Lepisosteus oculatus: one gene and its partners. The protein of the gene in region 1 purifies or fractionates together with the protein of each later gene. This does not show direct contact. Links are inferred from orthologs where the notes say so. Each region holds a gene or a part of one and is shown in the gene's direction. Other genes may lie near its edges.

Region 1 (6,843 bases):
GTTTGGAAGCCAGCCGTCTCCGGTCACAGCCCCCTGGCCTCTTCTCTTCCAGTCCTCCCCCCTCTCGGTCCTCTTTCCCCAGTCCCAGTGTGCGTTGTTACCAGCATGCCTTAGAGAATCAAGTACACACCAGGCCTGTTCTTTTTTTTTTATTATTCCCTAAACTTTTACTTTTCTCCGTCATTGTACGGACAGGTTGCTCTAGCGATCCAAAGATCTGAAACTTAGCCAATGTGTGCGGTCAGGGTACCCCCCACCCGACCGTTCCCTAATCCCATTAGTATTCCTGGGTCTGTCCGTTCTGCGCAGCCATGATTACTGAAGCCACATGCACAATAAAACCTTGCCATTTTTTTTGTTAATCATGGAATCTTCCCATCTTTCCTCCTGTCATCTCAGTATTGTCGCTTTGGCCTTGTTTTTGCCCTCTCCTCGCACGCCTCCGCCCTGTTTAACTGTTTGATCGTGCAGCGCAGAGACCGGTTTCTTTTCACAAAGAGATAGAGATCCACGGACATCTGGGTCCCCTTCCCCCCCGGCAGCCACGCCTTCCTAAACCTCTCAAGACGCGAGCCGTGATCGGGGGGCGGCTTCGATCAGCCCCCGGCCGCCTAGAAATCAAACTGCCGAAGAGCCGGGGAGTGAGCTCTGCTTTTCCGGCCAATGCCACCACGAACGAAAGAGCCGCTGGTACCTGAAGATTTTTCCTGAGGAGGACAAGACTAACTGCTCCAGTTAAAGTTCATTTCATTTTCCACAGCTCCACCCCAGTTAGTCCTGTTCCTCATGTTTCTGCGTTGTCCTTACCTAGCGACTTGTAGTTTGCTCTTCATACCAACAGACTGAAGTGCCCTGTGGGCCAGGTGGTGTGTTAAAGTAGTGAAATAAGAACTGAGGGCACTCCGTTCCGTGCCAGGGTGAGGCTTTTCCCCCCGAAAAAAATGTCACACGAAAAGCAGAAGGATGGTCTCGGCCTTCAGCGCTACAGGGTTCACCTGTTTGTCCATGCTTTTGTGGGAGAAATGCTTTTTTTTTTCCTGTTGTTTTGTTAACCTTTTTGCACAACTGAGGGAGGAGAAATACAAACTGAATTATTCTGGACTGGATCTCATTGCTAGCTTCATATACACTGGGAGTTAATGGCATTGTGGTACAAAGGGTAGTTTAAAAGACATAGGGACTTGACTGTAATAAGCCATTACATGGGTTCAGTTACTGTTTCTTTAAATGGAAGGGGTTCTGTGGCCACATGTTAGTGAAGGAAATAAAAAACTGAAAGGAAACCCAATTAAAGTGTTTTAATTGTAATTCTGACAACTTCAGCACAACACCCCAGCTATTAAGAATAATCCGTACACCACACAAGCCCATGAATTTAGTTTTTTTCCCGACAACTGTGTTGCCCAAGGTTTGGGGTACACTGAAACATGACAATTGTTTTAAGTGTAGTGGGCTTAAATTACAAAGGCTAATATGATTCCTCTTTATGACTGTTGTAATGAGCATGATAGCATTAGCTAAACATGCAAATGTATTGCATAAGTGCACTTGGCAGAATACTATCAAAGACTGTAGTTTTTGTTAAATGCTGTCGTATGCTCGTTCTGGTTTTCACCGAGGTTTGCCATTCGTAATGACAATGCTGAAATCAATCCATTGATTTTACACACGGCTCCTACTTGGAAAAAAACGTTCATATGAAGCCTCCGTGTCGCTCGGACTCAGCTCTGTGGAAACGTTTAGTGATGATCTCACGCTCGTTACATTCGCATTCTCGTCTCAATCCACCGCACTGTTACAAATGTCCAATTGTATTAGTCCACCTCCCACTAGAGACCTCTAGTGGCGTCTGTTGTCACTACATGTTTGTATAGGCCATCTGTGCAGATGGAACTGGTACACCTTTTACTAGGCCTGTAAGTGGTGTGTAACTGTATAGTTATAGTTTGAACTGGTTGTAAATGTTTGACCATTTTCCCTTTTGAAACTGCTCGTGTACAGAGACCAGGCGCGCTAGCAACATCATACTAAACAGGCATACTAAGACAGGTAAGCTGTTACCTTTTTTTCGCTGCACCAACTGAAACATGACACACGCAAAATCTTCATCCAAATTTCTTTGGCCAATTATTTCCAAATGTTATGGGTGTATTTATAGGACCAAGATAGCTGCCTGTCATTTTTCATTCTTGTACATATACAGACCATGACACTTACAGTAACTCCTAATGTTTAACAATTAAATCACCAAATAATTCCCAACATTACTGTTCCTGTTCAAAGGCTGGTTAGCCAGTTCACTCCAACCTTGGTAGGTATCACTCAAGTGGTGATATAGTTAACATTCATAGTGAAATGGGTTTCCTACATGAAATATAATGACTTTGTACCTTTTGGACCCACAATACGTTATTTGCCAGCAGCCATATCACCCTGCAGCTCACTGGAGCTCAGCAGGTGTGAGCCTGGTCAGTACCAGGATAGGTGACTCCTGGGAAAGCTAAGGCTGCTGCTGGAAGAGGTGTTAGTGGTACCAGTAGAGGACACTCACCCTGTGTGGGTCCTAATGCCCCAGTATAGTGACAGGGACACTATACTATAAAAAGGCGCTGTCCTTCGGATGAGATGTAAAACCGAGCTCCTGACTCTCTGTGGTCATCCCAGGGCGTTTCTCGAAAAGAGTAGGGGTGTCCTGGCCCAGTTTTCCCCTGGCCTTTACCAATCATGGCCTCTTAGTAATCCCCCATCTCTGAACTGGCTCAATCACTCTGCTCTCCTCCCTAGTGAGAGCTGGTGTGTGGGGAGTGTTCTGGCGCACTATGGCTGCCGTCACATCATCCAGGTGGGGCTGCACACTGGTGGTGGTGGTGGAGGGGATCCCCATTACCTGTAAAGCGCTTTGAGTGGAGTATCCAGAAAGGCGCTATATAAGTGTAAGGAATTATTATTATTACCATCTTGGCAAAGCACACTTTGTGCCAGGAACTGCCATTCCTCAAAAACTGGCCAAACCCTATCGAAAGGCTCCCAGCCTGACAAGGTTTCCTTATTCTGTTTCCCCCTGGTTTATCTGCAGTTCGCTCCCACTGTTAAAACGGGGACACAATTGTGTGGAAGATTTCAGAACTACTGGCCATTTTCTAGTTCCAAAATATACTTTGAATTTATCCATGTAAAACAAATACACGTTTACTTCAAGTTAAACCAAAGATTTGAACGTCATTTTATTTATTTTTTCAATATATTGCATGTAACTGTTTAAACAAGGGCTATACAAGCAAGTTTATCAACTGATTGAATGCCTGGCAGAAAACTCTTGCATAGCACACACGGTGTAGTTAATCCTGCAGAAAACAAATTCTGCTTTCTGGTAAATTTAGAAACGACACCCTGGTTCTTTTTTATCAGCACTGTCTTAGGAGGCTTTCCTACGCAAATGCCAACAAAGCTGCGTGCTTTGTTGAGGCACATCACATGCACGATGCAAAGCAACTTCACTGATCTGTTGTTACTGACAATGTCACACCGTGGAATTGAGGTGAAGGTCTTCCTTCCGCGGACTAATACATTTTAAATTAATATCGTACTTTACAAACACCCACAGTGAAGGAAAACGACGAATGCCTGAATTTATTCCGCTCAGCAGACAAATACTGCCGCTTTCAAGTCGCTAAGGGAAATTTGAAATGCTTGTAAAAAGTAACTATAAACCTTTTTTTTCCCTAACACGGCTTACGGATCTATTACAATACGAACATCATAGTTTTGTTTCCAAAGATCTGGTCGAGTGCTGCGCAGGAACGCGTGAGCGAGTCCGCGGTTTCCCTGGCAGCAGGGACGGAATTACGGTGAGCGCAGAACGGAAGTTGAGGCGGTTGCTGGTTTTTCACGACCAGCAGAAAACGGAATCTGGGGCAAGCGATCACTTTGACGAAACAGAACAGTATCGATACAACATTTTAAGAAAGTAAAGGGTTTGCCTGTCGTTTATCCGCCCGCTACCTCCCCCTTTCCCTCCCTTATGGCTTCTAACTCCAATATAGATATAGAGGACGCGACCCAGCATCTTCGGGACATCTTGAAGCTGGCCCGACCCGGGATTAGCGGTGAGTGCCGTGGGGAGGCGAGCCGGGAGAGGCCTGCAAGATTCGCTAGGCCGCAGAAGGGGGGTGTTAGTTACAGGGATGCGGAAAAGATACGGAGATACACCGAGAAGTGAAGCCGAAGTTCAAACACAAAATGCAAAACGATAAGGTGTTTCTAGCGACCAGCAGTAAACTCAACCCTTTTGCGCATTTTGTGTTGCCCGGGAACGCGTAACAGAAGAGGAGAACAAAACGACGTTAAATTGTCAGCTTCACGGGTGGGAAAAAATATATATTCGAGAGATTTGAGAAGTTGTTGCAATTGAGGGTCCAGAAGAAAATGCAGAACACGCCGAGAGGTGGTGATTTTGAGGCGGAGAGGGGGTGTACGAGAAGGGAGGAGTTTTCCGAGGTTCACTCCGCTGTTTTCAAACCTGACCGAACGGGAGAAACCCGCGACTGAAGTTTTCGTGTCTTTTCTTCTGCTCCGTTTCGTGTGGACTGAGACTCCAAAAGTCGCGAAATTCAGTTGTAACAAGTGCGACTGTTGTTTTTTTTTTTTGCGACGCGTTTCCCAACGGGAACGGGCGTTGCGCTGAGCGCGCATGTCAGATGTTACATAAAATTCAGATGTAGTTCAAAAAGAACAGTTTTGCAAGAAAATATGCATTCTCTACGTATCCCTCAAAATCCGTGAGCCCTTTGAACTTCCAAGTTTATTTAAAGGGCTCACTCCGAATTGTTCTCTAGTTTTCTCTGCTGGGCTTACACAAAGAAGTAAAATGCATTTCTGTGCGTGATCCTTGTTTGGGTTTTTTTTTTTATCGGTCTGTTGCATTGTCCTCACGACAAGACTTTCCTCCCCTCCCACCAGATACCTCTTCGACTGAGAACCCAAAGAGGTCTTTCAACGGGGAGCTCAATGGCCTGTTTGGCGCTGACTTCGTAGCCGCGGGTGACCGAGCTACCCTGGGCGAGCCCACTGCGCACAACCCGGAGAGCATGAGCTCGCACGAGAGACAGACCATGTAGGGGATGGGGATGGGTTGCTTCGATAACCATGATCACTTCCTTAATCAAAAGGAATGAATGCTTATGGGAATGTAAAACCGAAAGTGCATTGCTTACCTATTTGACTTCGAATCTAGAGAACGTTTAGCAAAGAGTCCTGATGCAGCCACTGAAGGCAATCGTTACTGCTTTAGGATAATGTTATCAAAGTATGAGAAACAAAACAGCTGCTGCCTTTTGTGTGAGCAGTTAGCCGTTTTATAATACATGTGCAAGTCCCAAGTTTAATACTGATTGCGGTAATTCCTGTACAAAGTTTTAAATCTGCTCCTTGCACAGAGCAGTACAAGGAGTGATTCTTTTATTTGATAATGGGATAAGCTGATTGGTTTTACTTCAACAACTGTAGATGAATGCAAGTTTCCTGTCGCCTCTTTTGTCAAACATTTAATGTGCAATGTGCACTTATTTAGGCAGTGGGCATGGCTATTAAAACTATCACATCACCCAGAGTGCTAGAAAGAGTGGCTTTGTTGATATTTTGTCTCTGCAACATTTGTGCTTTAAAGTGCTGCTACCTAAATGGTCTTTTTTCTTAGGTTACTAAGTCCACCAGTTTTGTTTTTGTCTGACAGCTGCCTCTCAGGAGATGACAGTTCAACCTGTATTGTCATTTCATCTGGGGATGTGGAGGTCGTGGCAAGCCATGACTCCAGCATCAACAGCAAAGCCAGGGGCAGCAACAAGGTAAATCATGTCTGTGTGTTTATGGCAAGAAGAAGCTGCAGCCCAGGCCTTCTGTCCAAAGGGCTGGACTTTGGGGTTTCATTTAGACTCGTTCTCTTGCAGGTCAAAATCCAGCCTATTGCAAAGTATGACTGGGAACACAAGTACTATTATGGCAACCTGATAGCGGTGTCCAACAGTTTCCTTGCCTATGCCATTAGAGGTGAGAAGTGCTTTCTTTCCCCCCTTCTTGGTAAAGTGATGGTTTCTGTACTTGCAGTGCAGTATGTGCCTGTCCAGCAGGCATTGCCAGACTGCTTCTGAAAACTGTTTGGAAACAGTTGAGGCGGTGTGGCTTTGTTGCTTGGTTACTATGCAGTGTGTTCAATAAACAGTGATTGTGTATAAATATGCCCTGCCGTTAGTCTTGCTATAGTAAAGACCTTTTGACACTTTTGGACTTAAGTGTTCCGTAATAAACATGCCCTCTGCCGTACTCTTAAAACTACAAAAAATACAAAGTCCTAGCCTGGTTTGCATTTGGGTTTGAATGTTGCGGGTAATCTGTGGGTGCCTTTTATGTGTGTTTTGAATGTTTAACACCCGCCCTCCTAGTATAATTCTTCATTTCCCTTTTAAACACATGCAAGAACCTTTCCGAGCCGTATCTACAGATCATCGGGAGTTTGAGATTTGCATAGCATGGAATTGGGAGGAGCTATGAAGTGTTCAGTAGGATCTGTTTTTAAACCCGCGAATGGCAACGCAGGTGAACTCTAAATTTGATGTTGAGTTTAATTCCAGGTCTAGTTTCAAAGGTCACGCCACCTGCCAGCGCTTGGCATATTTTAGCACGTTATTCTGTTTTATCTGTGCGCAGGTGCAAACAATTACCCCATGATCCGAGTGCTGTCGCTGAGCACGGCCGAGCGCACGCTTCTCAAAGGATTCACGGGGGCTGTCACAGACCTGGCCTTTGCTCACCTCAACTCCACCCAGCTCGCCTGCGTGGACGAAGCTG
Region 2 (6,832 bases), on another chromosome or scaffold:
AGTCATGTGTTATTTCAGAAGTAATGCAAATCAAAAGTGATGCTTAAATTTAGATTGTGGAAACTGACACATACTGTAAGTGATTTAAAATAAATGTAGACTATAATTGTGCCAATTCATGGAATACACTTATAATTTCAGAAGTCAGTTTGCATCAAAAACCTGTACATAACACTGTGATGTTTGTTTATATGATTAGATCTGTGTAACATAACACTATTTTAAAAAGTCATGCTATTACATGGTGCATGGTTAGATGGTTGCATATTTACATTGTTATATAGTTAGATGGGACTAAATGGGAAGAGAAAATATTTGATTCTGAAGCTAGAATTGAAAAAAAGGCATTTGGGTGTATCAGGAAAATTATCTCATTTTAAACATTTTTAAAGGGGAAATTCTGAAATATGTATTGAGAAGAGAAACTAATGAGTAAACCACCATTGACATTTAGACTTGAAAATCTTTATGGTCTTCATATTATGACATACTGTATTTTGCAGTTTATTAGTACCCATGTGAATGATGATAGACTTTCACCTTAACTTATTTTCTTCTTTCTCACTTAAATATTTTAATGATCTGCTTTTCCTCAGGCATTTACTTAAGTGGAAAGGAGTTACGCAAGTACATGTTGCCAAAATCTGCCCCCTTTATGGAAAAATTGAAACTGCACAAAAATGTTCTCGTTCCCCGACACCCTCCAGTCTTTTATGAGTGGTTCCTTAGAACGTTCCCTGATCCTACTTCATGGTTTGTACCATTCCATCTGTTTAAATTGTTCAAACAATTTGAGGGAAACCGTATCACTTTAATGTAACGCAAGTTCCTGGAACGGTGTCTCGTTACAGGTACAGCAGTAGATCTGCATATTGCCGCTCCATTGCTGTGATGTCAATGGTGGGCTACATCCTGGGACTTGGGGATCGACATGGAGAAAACATCCTGTTTGACTCTTTAACAGGAGAATGTGTGCATGTGGACTTCAACTGTCTCTTTAATAAGGTGTGTGCGCATATTACCTCAGGTGTGTTTTTATCATATACCCACCCAATCTGGCACCTGCCTTGTAAGACTTGGCTCATGACTTCAACCTCTGAATGCTGCACAGACAAAAATAAGGGAATTGCTTTTAAAATGGAGTGGATACGCTAGACATCTGCAACAAACTACCCAGATGGGCTGTCAAAGATAGTACCGAAGTTTCTTTCACCAAAACATCCTCAAACCCCCTAGTGATAGAAAACCAACCTAGCTATATGGTCTCCCCTCATTTGTGAAGTATGTTCCAATTGGAATTCTGTTACAATCAAGTGGTGACACCTGAGCCATATTCCTCTATTCTTAAATCCTTCAAAGGCCTTAAAGACAAACTTTTGTCCTTTGCATAGGTTTGTTATAAAGGTTTTTAAGGTGTTATTAAGCCCAGTTTCTTTCAGCAAATATATTTCAGGGAATAATTTATATTCTTTGTTTCAATCTGATTTACTGCTAATGTTGCTTGTCCTTATTGGGAGGTTGGGAACCCCTATACAATAAGGAAAAAAGGAATGACATCAATGAATAACCGTGTTTTAGGTGCTCATTTTGTGCATGCAGGGAATTTTGAGCCTTTTCTTTTCCGTGATAGGGTGAAACATTTGAAGTCCCAGAAGTAGTGCCTTTCCGACTGACACAGAATATGGTTCACGCCATGGGCCCCATGGGAACTGAGGGTCTGTTCCGCCAAGCCTGTGAGGTCACCCTCCGACTAATGCGGGATCAGAGGGAGCCGTTAATGAGGTAGGAACCTCCTCCCTCTGTGGGTTTACACACATTGAGTAATCTCCATTCATGAAGTACAGTGTTTGAACTTTGTGCTCGTTTCTTTCCAACTTCTTAGTGTCTTGAAGACCTTCCTTCATGATCCGTTGGTGGAGTGGAGTAAACCTGTTAAGGGAGGTACAAAAGCCCACGTCAATGAATCCGGAGAAATCCTTAATGAAAAGGTATGCCGTTTCACAGACAACTGTGATGTGATGTTGTATTCTGAATTCCTGTTTCAAGCCAGGGTGAATGAATTTGACAGGTGTCAAACGCAATCACTGAATTGTCTATTGTATTTCCTGTACACAGCAATACCTGAACTTTCTCTGACAGAATTGTCGAGTGGTAGCATCTTGGAAATACCTGCACTGTTGACATTTGCTCTTTGTTTTCTGTAGGCGAAGACCCATGTCCTTGATATAGAGCAGAGGCTGCAGGGGGTTATCAAGAACAGGAACAAGGTGATGGGTTTGCCTCTATCCATTGAAGGCCATGTTCACTACCTCATCGATGAAGCCACAAATGAGAAACTGCTTTGTCTCATGTACCTGGGCTGGGCTCCCTACCTGTGACCATGTTTGGTGTCTCAAATAAGCACTTATTATTCAGGGCAAATTCATTCCTCACTTTCTTTTATTAAAAACATTTATGTTTCTACTGGCGTGTTCATTTCTTTGCGGTGTTCAAATCTGTTTGGAAATTATTGACATTATTTCTGTTATGTAAATTCACGTGTTACATTATAACCACAATAATAAAAGAGTTCTATAAAAATTTTCAAAGCACCTCCCTTAATTTCAGATCTGATTTCTTAACTAAGATCTTTAGCTCTTTCTTTTGAAGTATTGTCTGGGTTTGAGACATACTGTAGCTCAGAGAGACATTGAAAAATCTCAACAAGTTGTAAACACTGTCTTGGATTCTTGTGGTGAACTTCTTGAGAGATGTACATGTTTAAAAAATCTTTTAGCAGAAAAGTAACATTATCTTTTGATTTTATTTACTGAAAACCTGTTCTTTTTTAAATTAGTGTAATCTAGTGCTCCACACAAATTACCAAAACTTTCTTATAACAATAGTCCCTCCAAAGCCTTCCTGAATGAATTTCCCCCTCATCACTTTTTGAAGGACTTCATGAAATATCCCGTATCTCCTGGATAAGTTCTGTTATTATACAGACACGACGTTTGACTAAGTGCAGTTTAATTCTGGCCTTCTTATTCCAGTTATGTAACAGATTTTCTATTCTCCAGTGAAGGTCGAAAAATGAAATACTACAAAGGCATCTTAAATGTTTATCTCAAAATGCATTTCTAAGATGTTACTATTGTTACTATAATTTTAATTTAACAGGAACATTCTCTAAAAAATCATTCAACTGACATCCGCGTTCCTTTAACAGAAACACTAAAACGTTACCATTCAACTGACATCCACTTTGTTGAACATGGCAAAACTTCAATCACGAAAAATACAGTTAATAAATCGCTAATCACTCGGCATCGTTGTGTTGAACTGGTGCGGGCAAAATACTAGCCCAATTGGTCAAAGTATGTGTAATAAAGTTCACTTTCAGTAAACCGAACAGTATCACACAGTCTTTTTGACGAGATGGCGAGGTTGAGCCGTCTTTTCCGGAATAGTGCAGGTGTTGCCCTTTGTCATTCTAACACCCGAATTCTAAGGGGTTCTAGATTTTATCCTCTGTTGAATGCCTTACTTTACCCCATCGTCTGACACGCATCAGCAGTTTTATTTGTCCTAATGTGGACAATCCTAGCCACTGTATTGTCGTCTGCGGTTTTAAGGACTGTTAATCCACCGTGTTTGATTAAATATGACCTTAATATTTATTTTATTTAGCACTGGTTTTATTACTTTTATTTATTATTCCTCCGCCGCCGCAGATTTAACAATCTCACAACGGCAGTAATTGACAGTTTTAAAGTCCATAGGAACCTTTACTGTGAGTCGAAGCAGTCCGGGACTGATTATTTGTCGGACAAATAATAAGAAAGGGAAACAATTTAACGTTTGAACAAAAAGCTCTTGCTTTATTTAATCTTGGCGAAAGATTAGGAAAAAAATGAAATTTCGTTACAAGTCTTTTAGTGGAAATTGATGAATTGTTATTTTAGCATTGTACTGTATCCATATCAGTCTTACGTCACAGCAATTTCGAATTGACCGTCCGCACTTCCCCGCTGGCATAGAAGCAAAAATAAAAACTGGCCTCCGTAGGAATATAAACTTTTACTGCAACACTGCAATTCATTTTTTTTTAATCTCTCGGGACGAGGTTGTGGTAAGGATGGGTGTACCGAAATTTTACCGATGGATTTCGGAGAGATACCCTTGTTTGAGTGAAGTTGTTAAGGAACATCAGGTAAGAATATATAGGCCTTACGAGTTACACCATACAACCCTTCCTTCTGATTCTGATTTAATTGCATAGCTCTGTCTGTTTATTTTTTCTATAAAATAATTGAGCTTCAGTATGAGTTTTCATTTTCTGTTTAGTTTAGACCGCATAAATGACTGTTGTCATTAAGAAGCAATTGTTTTTTAAAGTTGTTTTATGAGCGGAAACATCTGCAATTGAATACAGTAGATACAATAAATATAAGACATTTTGGTTTTAGTATCTCCCTGACAACAGCAGTTTTACTTGATTTGTAAAAACATGCTCAATATGTAATTTTGTCCTGTTGCTGCGAACAGAACCAGTAATAATCCTCATAGTTGCATTTGTAGTCAATACATCTAAACGATATTCTTATCTCTTTCTCTCGTTACAGAGGTCGCCTTTTCTATGTATTTATTATTTTTAGCTTCTATCCAGGGCGGCTAACACGTTGGTTTATTTTGCTTTGGGAAATATTGTAAATTAGTTTTTATATTTAAAGCTTCATTTAAGAGCGCACTCTCGTAGACTTTACAGCCGAAACAGCGACATTGTTGCAGTTCACTTTGAGGCGCAGGCGACCGACTTAATGTTGCTTTATTGCCCGGTAGAGGCTAAAGGCAGTCTGTTTCTGTCCCTTGCTTCAGATTCCTGAATTTGACAACCTGTACTTGGACATGAATGGCATTATTCATCAGTGCTCCCACCCCAATGATGAAGACGTGCACTTCCGAATCTCAGAAGAGAAAATATTTGCCGACATTTTTCACTATCTGGAAGTGCTGTTTCGTATCATTAAGCCGAGAAAGGTCTTCTTCATGGCCGTGGATGGAGTGGCTCCTCGCGCAAAAATGAACCAACAGCGCGGAAGGCGCTTTAGGTAACAACACGGTTTGTTTCGTGTACCACGGATTCAAAGGTAGTCTGTCTGGGAGGTTGATACTTTATGGGCAGTGTTTTTATTTTTTTGTTTTATTTGAAGGTCAGCAAAAGAAGCTGAAGATAAAATTAAGAAGGCCCTAGAGAAAGGAGAAGTTCTTCCTACAGAGGCTAGATTTGACTCCAACTGCATTACTCCAGGTAGCTACTACACAGCTGGGGCTATGTTGACACCTCGCTCATCTTTTGCCTTGTTTTCTGACATGTTTGTACTGTACCCCTCAAATGCCTTTTCTCTTTTTTTTTTTAGGAACAGAATTTATGGCCAGACTCCAGGAGCAGCTGGAGTATTTTGTGCATAACAAAATATCCACAGAAAAATCATGGCAGAGGGTGCGAGTTTACCTCTCCGGTCATGAGGTATATAATTAAATAGAGAAACAGAGTAATTCGATACGTGATGTGATTTATGTTCCGGTGTACCTCTGCAGTCTCGAGAGTTTTCCATGCTAGGTATTATGATCACAAATCTGCTATTTATTTACTGTACAGACCCCTGGAGAAGGAGAACACAAAATCATGGAATTCATTCGGTCAGAAAATGCCAGGCCAGACCATGACCCCAATACCAGGCACTGTCTTTATGGTTTGGATGCTGATCTGGTATGTATTTTTTAGTTTGAAAAATGCATGCATTTTCATTTGATTGTACATGACTTTTAAGCATTTAAAGGTGTTGCCTTTAAAAAAAATTGAACTACGGGATTGAACAACTTTCGTTATAAAAGTGCTTATTAAATAATTTTAGGATGCTAATAAAACTATCATGAGTACCTTTAGTTGTCACTAAACCTCCCTCATTAACAGACTGAGATTGTAGTATAAGGTCTTCCCAAAATGTAAACCTAAGAGCTGTTATGAAATGTCAGAGCAAAATAATTATAAATGTTTCCAGTAGAATTAAAGTAACTTTTTCTTACCTGCTGGCTAAATATTTATACCATTTTCTTTTTCCTTCTTCCATGTAGATAATGCTTGGGTTGACAAGCCATGAACCTCACTTCTCTCTTTTGAGAGAAGAAGTTCGTTTTGGTGGTAAAAAGTCACAGAAAAGGCAAGTGCATAAGTCAGTGCCATTTAATATTTGAATTTCATGTTGCTCCTTCTCTTTTTGACACTTATGCGTGTTTTGTTTTATATAGAATAAGTACACCTGAAGAGACAACATTTCACTTGTTGCACTTGTCCCTGATGAGAGAGTACATCGACTATGAATTTTCAGAGCTGCGGGTAAGTAATAATAAACTCATTATTTTCACCTTGGAAATATACACAGTATATTATTTTAAAATATTGGTTGCTCGTTGTGATGCATTTCCATAGCATATTTAGAAGAGCTTCATTTATTTTTTTTATTTGAAACTGGAATTGCAAAAGTTTATTTAAGGATATCTTTGACAGCAGTCTTGCCACTCTGTATTCTGGTCTCATAAGTATGGAGGGTAAACAAGGCAGGGTCTAAATCCATCCATTTGGCCAGAATATTCCAAACCAGTTTACAATTATATTGATCAGTTGTCCTTTTGATGAGACGTTAAACCAAAGTCCTGGCTACTTTAAATAAAATCCCATGGCACTGTTCACAGGGGTGAGTCGTTTACTCCAGTCTGGCCTACCTGAAGGCCTCCATTTAATTTAACTGGTGAAGTAATTTCTTAATTCCTCAACTGGTCTGGAATGTAG
Region 3 (6,943 bases), on another chromosome or scaffold:
TGGCTTTCTGCAGTGGACCATACCTGAAGGCCTTTGCTATTGGATTTTTAAGATATTTAAGTAGAACAAAAGTAATCTTAATCAGCATTATAAACATTATTTTTAATGAACTGAACAGCTAAATAATATCTGCAAGCACTTCTAGTTGGATTTCCATAATTGACATAAAACAGTTATTTCTATGGTTTTGGCAGAGGTTGTCTAATACAGGTATTCATTCAGCACAGCTTTAAATAAAACCAAACTGTTCAAACTCTGGGACTTAGAACCAGGTACAATTTCACCTGCTGCGACAACAAGAACAATGTGCAAGATGATTTTTAAGGAAACTTTGTGAAGGCAGTCTCGATTATTTAAAGGTCCAGGTCAAGTGTGCTAATGTAGGCATCAAAATTACTTCTTTAGTAATCTACAATTTCAAGCCTTTTGCCGGGTCTTCAGGACACAGAACATACAGGACAAAAGTAGCACAGAAGTGAAATGCTATGAAAAGCTGGTAGTGCATCACCCTTTAAATCCATTCAGAAAAGTAAGTTGGCTGCCCTGTTTCAAGTTGAGCCTGTTTTTTCTTTCATTAGAATCACGTGGAAGGACCCCTCCTCCTTCAGCCCAGAGCGCTTCCTGGACGCTGAGGGCATGACTGTGAACAAGATGGAGGCGGAGAAGGTGATGGTGTTCGGGATGGGCAAGCGGCGCTGCATTGGGGAGTCCATCGGGCGCTCCGAGGTCTTCCTCTTCCTGGCCATCCTCCTGCAGAAGCTCACATTCCACAGCCTCCCCGACCACGAGCTGGACATGACGCCCGAGTACGGCCTCACCATGAAGCACAAGCGCTGCCACCTGCGTGCCAGCCTGAGAGTGCGCGCGGAGTGAGCTCCTTGGCGGCCGTGGAGCCCGCAGTGCACCTCGCCGCGCTGGGAGCGATGGCTGTTCCGTGTCTAGCTGTTCCTGGAGGTTGATAGCGTTGAGCTGCTGACGCAGCGGTCTGGCTTTCAAACAGGAGCTATGTGTCTTCGACTTGAGACTAGAATGCCAGAAGAAGCCAATACAAAGTACACAACAGATTTCTTAAATTGTAAAGGGCTGCTTTTCAAAAGAAAAGCCAAAATGTAATTGCAAGCAACTGTGTGAGAATTAATTCTAACTGAAGCTCCAGTTGACTTGAATCTGAACTTCCAAACCAGTTCTCAAAAGAAAAATAACTTTATAGTTTCAGTACAGCAGGAGGTCTGTAAGAATGTGTGAAAGCTGACTTCAGAGATGGCTGATCAGTTTGTAGTGACTTATCTCATTCTGTATATGAGTGGTTCCATCAGGTAGAACTGATGGGGAAAAATAAAATTAAAAACAGATGTCTGCCTTCAAAAGTGTATAAAATGGAACCCATCTGTTATTATTACTCTGATATTTAAATGTTGAAACTAGGGATTTTTAGCTTTGTAGGAATTGCTGTAAATCTCTTATTTGGGTTTTGCTCCTTTATCAGAAATAACTCATCAAAAGAGTTCTGTGCTGCCTCAGATCAAAAGCTTCCAGTTTGTGCGCATTTCTAAAACTGCTTTGCACCAGTTTCAATGTTGTTGTCTTATTCCTCTTGTTATGATAGGTAAGGGGATATTTTCAGTTTTTAATCTGAATTTAGGTCTTAAATCAAAGTTGCAAATGGATTTTCATTGTATTCTTTATTTAGTTGAATACGTTTTGCTACTTGTATCCAAACGCAGATTTATGGCACGTGATTTGCTTTTTGCCTTTACACCGGTTTGTAACCTGTTCTGGTGATGTGGAAGAGCTTTGTTATTCGGTTGTCTGTAATTGTATACAACTCAAAGTTAAGCCCCAGAAACAATGGACACTGTATAGGAAATATACTTTGTGTCTTAGGCGCCTTTCGAACAAATCTTTTTTTTTTTAACCTGTATATGTAGAATGTAGAGTTATTTGTGAAAGATTCAATATTGACCACAAGTGTCACACTAGCCATCCCAGGTTTGAGGTCTCTCGTCTTTTTTGCCATATATTTATATGTGGAGTAACATATTGATGCTTTGTCTGCCAGGAGGGGCATTTATCCCAGAATGTGACAGTGTACTTAACCAAACAACACTTACCTATTTAAGGGCTTTTACAGGTCCTGAACAAAATATCAGTTTTTGTACATGTAACAAATTGTGGGATGAGGGACTGAATTATACTGTACCTTATTGACTTAAAAATAGCTTTTATTATTTTCTGTCTAAAAACATATTCTAGCCAATTGTACAGCCATTTGTATTGTTAACAGGTGTATCTGTGAATTTTATTACGCAATCATGAAGGACCTTTTTCCAAGCTGTTGCAGTTACGCTGATCTTGTAGAACAAAATATATGCAAGTTATGGTAATTTCTTTTTAAATGATTTTGGTTTGTGCTTGCTTATATCAAGCTATTTTCTCTCATTCATGTATCAAGCTTACAGCATGTATAAGAGGAGTTCCTGTTTTTTTAAAAACATTTAATCTCTGTGAGATAATAAATGGGATAAAGTAATAAATTGGATGGAAATAATAAACCTTTTGAACATGAACCCGGTCTTTTTTATTTCTTATTTTTATAGACATACAATTATATTGTGTAGCACTGATACTAAATAGGTTAGTTAAATACATTTTGACTTGCATTTTCATTCTCAAATGTGACAGTCAACATTTTCACATTTAAATATTTAATCTAGCACATAAACTATATTGCATCTTCTAATATCAGACCCATATGATCTCAACTATATATTCCAATGTTTACAGTTCGTTTTATAGCATGTACAAATATTTACATTCTTCTGATGCAATATTCTTGTCAGTGTCACTTTTTGATTTGTGCATTAAGTTCATTTATTTTTAACCTCAGGTTTCTTAATGTAATTTGTAGTGTGAGCTGTCTTTTTTTCTTAATTTCTTTATTACTCCATTTCAGCCATATTTCCCTAGCTTTAAATATTTCTTTCTCGGCACCATCCATTTGAATACCTGAATCATATCACGGTGTAAACCTAGAAATCGTGTCCTATAACATTTGTATTTCACGCCAATTAAATTAGATTTTTCAAACTTTAAAACAAAGGGGAACGTGTTTTGTATTCTGAATCTTTCAGCAGAACACTAACCATTTACAGATAATTTGACATGAAGTTGTGTTGGGCTGTGTGTCTTCTCTCTACCCTTCCGAGTGGTTTCATTTCATATCCTGTTCCATATTCTCAGCCTTCAATGTGACAGATCATCACGGGTTTCTGTCCTCCAACACGTAAAGACGCACCAACATTTCAAAAACTGTTTCTAACCAAAGAATTATTTCAATACGAGAAAAAGAAACGTCAGTCTTTCTCATTTGATGCGAGATTTGTTGATCATTTTTATTTTATTCTGCTACAGTAGAGAAAATAGTTCGGTAACCGTAAAACAGAATAAATGCATAATATCACAGAGTTTAAAAGTGTGTACGTTTTTTCGACTTGCTTCCCGCACGACACTTGAACCAAATTTCTTATTCCATGTAGCCTATGCATTCTATAAAGTATCTTCTTAAACTCATACTGCATACATTTTATAAGAGTATATACCACATTTTTTCTCATCTATATTTGATCCCTTTGATCAACAAATATTCTCTTTGTTCGTATGCCTATTTCAGTGGTCAAAAACATGGGAAATGTTTATCTGGAGGGCCCATGAAGTCAGGTGGCTAGCTTTCAGTAGCATCTAGCTACAGACGGCTCACATCCCTGAGAACACAGTCTGTGTGCAGACGCAAAGAACAGATGCAGGAATAGTTACTACCGAAATTACAGAATTCATCCCCACGCGAGCAGCCTGTCTCTTTCAGCCAATGACTGGAAAGGACAGGACTCGCAGGAAGTGACGTACACAGTCGCAGAGAGGCCTTCGGGAAGTGACCCGCAGCGGGAGAAGAACTGTGGTGCTTATTAAAGCGGAGCCTTCGGGGTCTGGAAACATACAGAATAGAATTTATATTTCAGTTAAACGCAGATTTGTATTCATTTGTTTTTGAGAGGAGCAAAAAGCAGGTATTTCGTCTGTTTTTTATTTTAGAACATGGGTTAGAGTTATGGTCTTTTGTGGTTAAAATGGAAAGACGTAGCCATAGGACTCACGAGCTGTGTAGTAGTAGCACACAACGTAAAGTTTTAATGCTGTAGTGAGCCCTGGTTGACTACATTCAATTTTCAACTATTGACATATACACGCAGTTTAGTCAGGAACAGTCCCGTCTGTTCCTTGGTTTATTTACCAGGTCCGTGTTTTAGTCCTGCTCGCTGATGTGAAGGCCCTTCTCTCGGCAACTCCTCTTCATAGTAGTATAAGAAAGTTGAGTTTTTTTTTTAAATAAAAGGTTTAAATATCTCCAGGCAAAACATTTGCGTGATGCTGAAGCAGTACGTCAAGCAATGCACATGTACATCAATACAATTGTGTTGTAAACTTTTGTAGTCCTAATATGCAGTATAAGAATATGAGGGTTTGTTGGACTCGGGGGTGCATGTGGTAAACTGATGGTTATATGGTCTTGCAGTACAATAGTGGATACAGCAATCTTCTGTTGTCTTGTACACTCGGAGGCTGCTATTGCTGAAACCCTTTGCAAGGGAGTTTAGAGGATTCTTTCGAACATGGGTAAGCAGTCAAGAATCAACCCAGTTCTGGATGCAGTCTCTTCACCACCAACATAAAACTCGAATCCAGTGGATACGATTTTGCATTTTTTCCCTTTAGATTAAGAAAATCATGTTTGGTGCATTTAGTTGCAAAACAAAAGTAATGATTGTTTTGTTTAGTACTTCACTGTTTTTTTTTATTTTTCACCTGTTAAATTCAATAGAGATCATTCTGATTTACATTGACCATGCAGAAACCTGTTTATACAGCAGGGGATTTACTGGGGCAGTGCGAGGGACGTGGAAGGGTTGCAGGTGCGAAGGCAGAGCTTCACCTGAGAAACCAAGACTGGTCTGGAGTCCAGAGCCTTAGCTGCAACCCCAGGCACCTGCCTCTGTGTTGTTTGAAGTGATTGTTGGCGATTTTGGTTTTATTTAAATTGTGAGGTGTATGAAGTGCAGGGAGAATTCAGAGTGAAGTTTAAGCATGGTATACAGTGTAATATGATTAAATCCAAAAAATGTTCTGGGGGCGGAGTGTGTGTTTGGACCTTTATAACACCCAGGGAACTCTGAGTGGAACTTTGCATTGCATTTGTTACCTGCTCTCAGTATTCTGGCATCAGGCTGCTTCATTAACCTCCCACAGGTAAGAGAAAATAAGATGCTGCACCAAGAAAATTAGAGATCCAGGGGAACGTGCTTGATAGAGCAACTCTGCTGACAAGACACTTATAAAACTTTCAGGTTGCCTACGATATGGTAGGCAACTATATATATTCTGTATTGTAACTACTGTGACAAATTAAGTTCCCGTGTTTAAGACCATTTGTTTAACAGGAATACTGTTTTGGGTTCAGTTCTGTAGTGCACGATGCACAGAAGCTCCGACAGTTGGATGAAAAGCCACTTGTTGTGTTGCAGGCCAGGATGGCGGCGGACTGGCTGGGGAGCCTGGTGTCCATTAACTGTGGGGAGACGCTGGGGATGTACCAGGGAGAGGTGTCTGCTGTGGACCAGGCCAGCCAGACCATCTCCCTCAGACAGCCCTTTCACAATGGGATCAAGTGCCCGGTGCCTGAAGTCACCTTTAGGTGAGGTTCCAGGAGGCATTGTCTCAGACTACTTTTCACTCAGGTTTCAATCAAAAGGAGCTTACACAATATTTAACTTCAGTGTTAGTCTCTTTCTCACTTGTACGTTTCCATTATGATCTACTGCCATTATGTAAACTTAAGAGCAGACAATGTTTCCAAAAATCCTTGACGAATTTCCTTATTTTGTTAAATTCTTACATTCATTTCATTGACATTTTTTAACAACATTGGATTCTTTTCTGAACCTAAATATGAATTTTTGATTATTTCTGTTTGGAAAAAGCGGGATGATTTTAATCTGAATTATCTGTATTTTAGATACTTTATTGATCCCTTGAGGGAAATTGGAGTGCAACAGCAGCTTAACACAGACAACACAGACACAGTGTAACGAATGATACAATAATAATAATACAATACAATCAGTACAGTGCGAAGTGCACTAAGAAGAGTTACTCACAGTCCAGAACACACAAAGAACAGAACAGTACACAAAAAAGTCGTATTGCACAATATGATTATAAATATAAATGTATTGCTCAGGTCCCTGGCATATATTGCACAAAAACAGTTTTAAACGGGAAAAGAAAAAGAACAGATGTATCAGTTTACTGTTCAGTCCAGAAACGTCACTGTCAATGTTGCCTCTGCCCAGACGCAAGGTGGATGCGTCGTACAGTCTTATGGCAGAAGGCAAGAATGACCTCCTGTAGCGCTCCCTGTCGCACCGTAGATGGATCAGTCTATTGCTGAACGTGCTCTTCATTTCTGCAAGCCTGTCATAGAGGGGATGGGAGACGTTGTCCATGATGGCCTCTAGTTTGGACACCATTCTCCTCTCGGTCACTACCTCCAGGGGGTCCAGGCCAGACCCAATGACAGAGCTTGCTCTCCTGATGAGCTTGTTCAGCCTTTTAGAATCCACTGCTCTAATCCCAGAGCCCCAGCATACCACCATGTAGAAAATGACGCTCCCTACCACCGACTGATAGAACAGATGTAGCATTTTACTACACACATTGAAGGACCTGAGCCTCCTCAAGAAGTAAAGTCGGCTCTGACCCTTCTTAGACCACTCCCATGGATGTAGACAGGAGTAGGTTGGACCCTCTTCCTCCTGAAGTGTATCACCAACTCCTTAGTCTTTGCTACATTCAGTTGCAGGTGGTTCTCCCCACACCACTCCACAAAGCG

The links. The genes of interacting proteins can lie anywhere in the genome.
Region 2: the proteins of edc4 (region 1) and xrn1 purify together in Homo sapiens (co-immunoprecipitation; 4 studies listed by BioGRID and IntAct, with this or other methods). This does not show direct contact. The link is inferred for Lepisosteus oculatus from reciprocal best matches to the Homo sapiens genes EDC4 and XRN1.
Region 3: the proteins of edc4 (region 1) and edc3 purify together in Homo sapiens (affinity purification with mass spectrometry; 6 studies listed by BioGRID and IntAct, with this or other methods). This does not show direct contact. The link is inferred for Lepisosteus oculatus from reciprocal best matches to the Homo sapiens genes EDC4 and EDC3.

Annotation. Positions count from the first base shown.
Region 1 is NC_090715.1:3,978,632-3,985,474, forward strand, and holds the start of edc4 (enhancer of mRNA-decapping protein 4), read left to right. Parts: upstream 1-3,820; 5' UTR 3,821-4,021; coding exon 4,022-4,106; intron 4,107-4,959; coding exon 4,960-5,113; intron 5,114-5,731; coding exon 5,732-5,843; intron 5,844-5,945; coding exon 5,946-6,045; intron 6,046-6,702; coding exon 6,703-6,843. UniProt on the Homo sapiens protein: In the process of mRNA degradation, seems to play a role in mRNA decapping. Component of a complex containing DCP2 and DCP1A which functions in decapping of ARE-containing mRNAs. Promotes complex formation between DCP1A and DCP2.
Region 2 is NC_090708.1:15,748,373-15,755,204, forward strand, and holds the start of xrn1 (5'-3' exoribonuclease 1), read left to right. Parts: upstream 1-3,811; 5' UTR 3,812-4,117; coding exon 4,118-4,192; intron 4,193-4,857; coding exon 4,858-5,090; intron 5,091-5,192; coding exon 5,193-5,290; intron 5,291-5,399; coding exon 5,400-5,509; intron 5,510-5,641; coding exon 5,642-5,752; intron 5,753-6,117; coding exon 6,118-6,203; intron 6,204-6,291; coding exon 6,292-6,379; intron 6,380-6,832. Other genes in the region: serine/threonine-protein kinase ATR, read left to right, coding at 597-753, 852-1,005, 1,631-1,782, 1,883-1,988, 2,205-2,378. UniProt on the Homo sapiens protein: Major 5'-3' exoribonuclease involved in mRNA decay. Required for the 5'-3'-processing of the G4 tetraplex-containing DNA and RNA substrates. The kinetic of hydrolysis is faster for G4 RNA tetraplex than for G4 DNA tetraplex and monomeric RNA tetraplex.
Region 3 is NC_090700.1:56,695,998-56,702,940, reverse strand, and holds the start of edc3 (enhancer of mRNA-decapping protein 3), read left to right. Parts: upstream 1-3,922; 5' UTR 3,923-4,064; intron 4,065-4,456; exon of another isoform or gene 4,457-5,301; intron 5,302-5,576; 5' UTR 5,577-5,582; coding exon 5,583-5,746; intron 5,747-6,943. Other genes in the region: cyp1a (cytochrome P450 1A1), read left to right, coding at 579-873. UniProt on the Homo sapiens protein: Binds single-stranded RNA. Involved in the process of mRNA degradation and in the positive regulation of mRNA decapping. May play a role in spermiogenesis and oogenesis.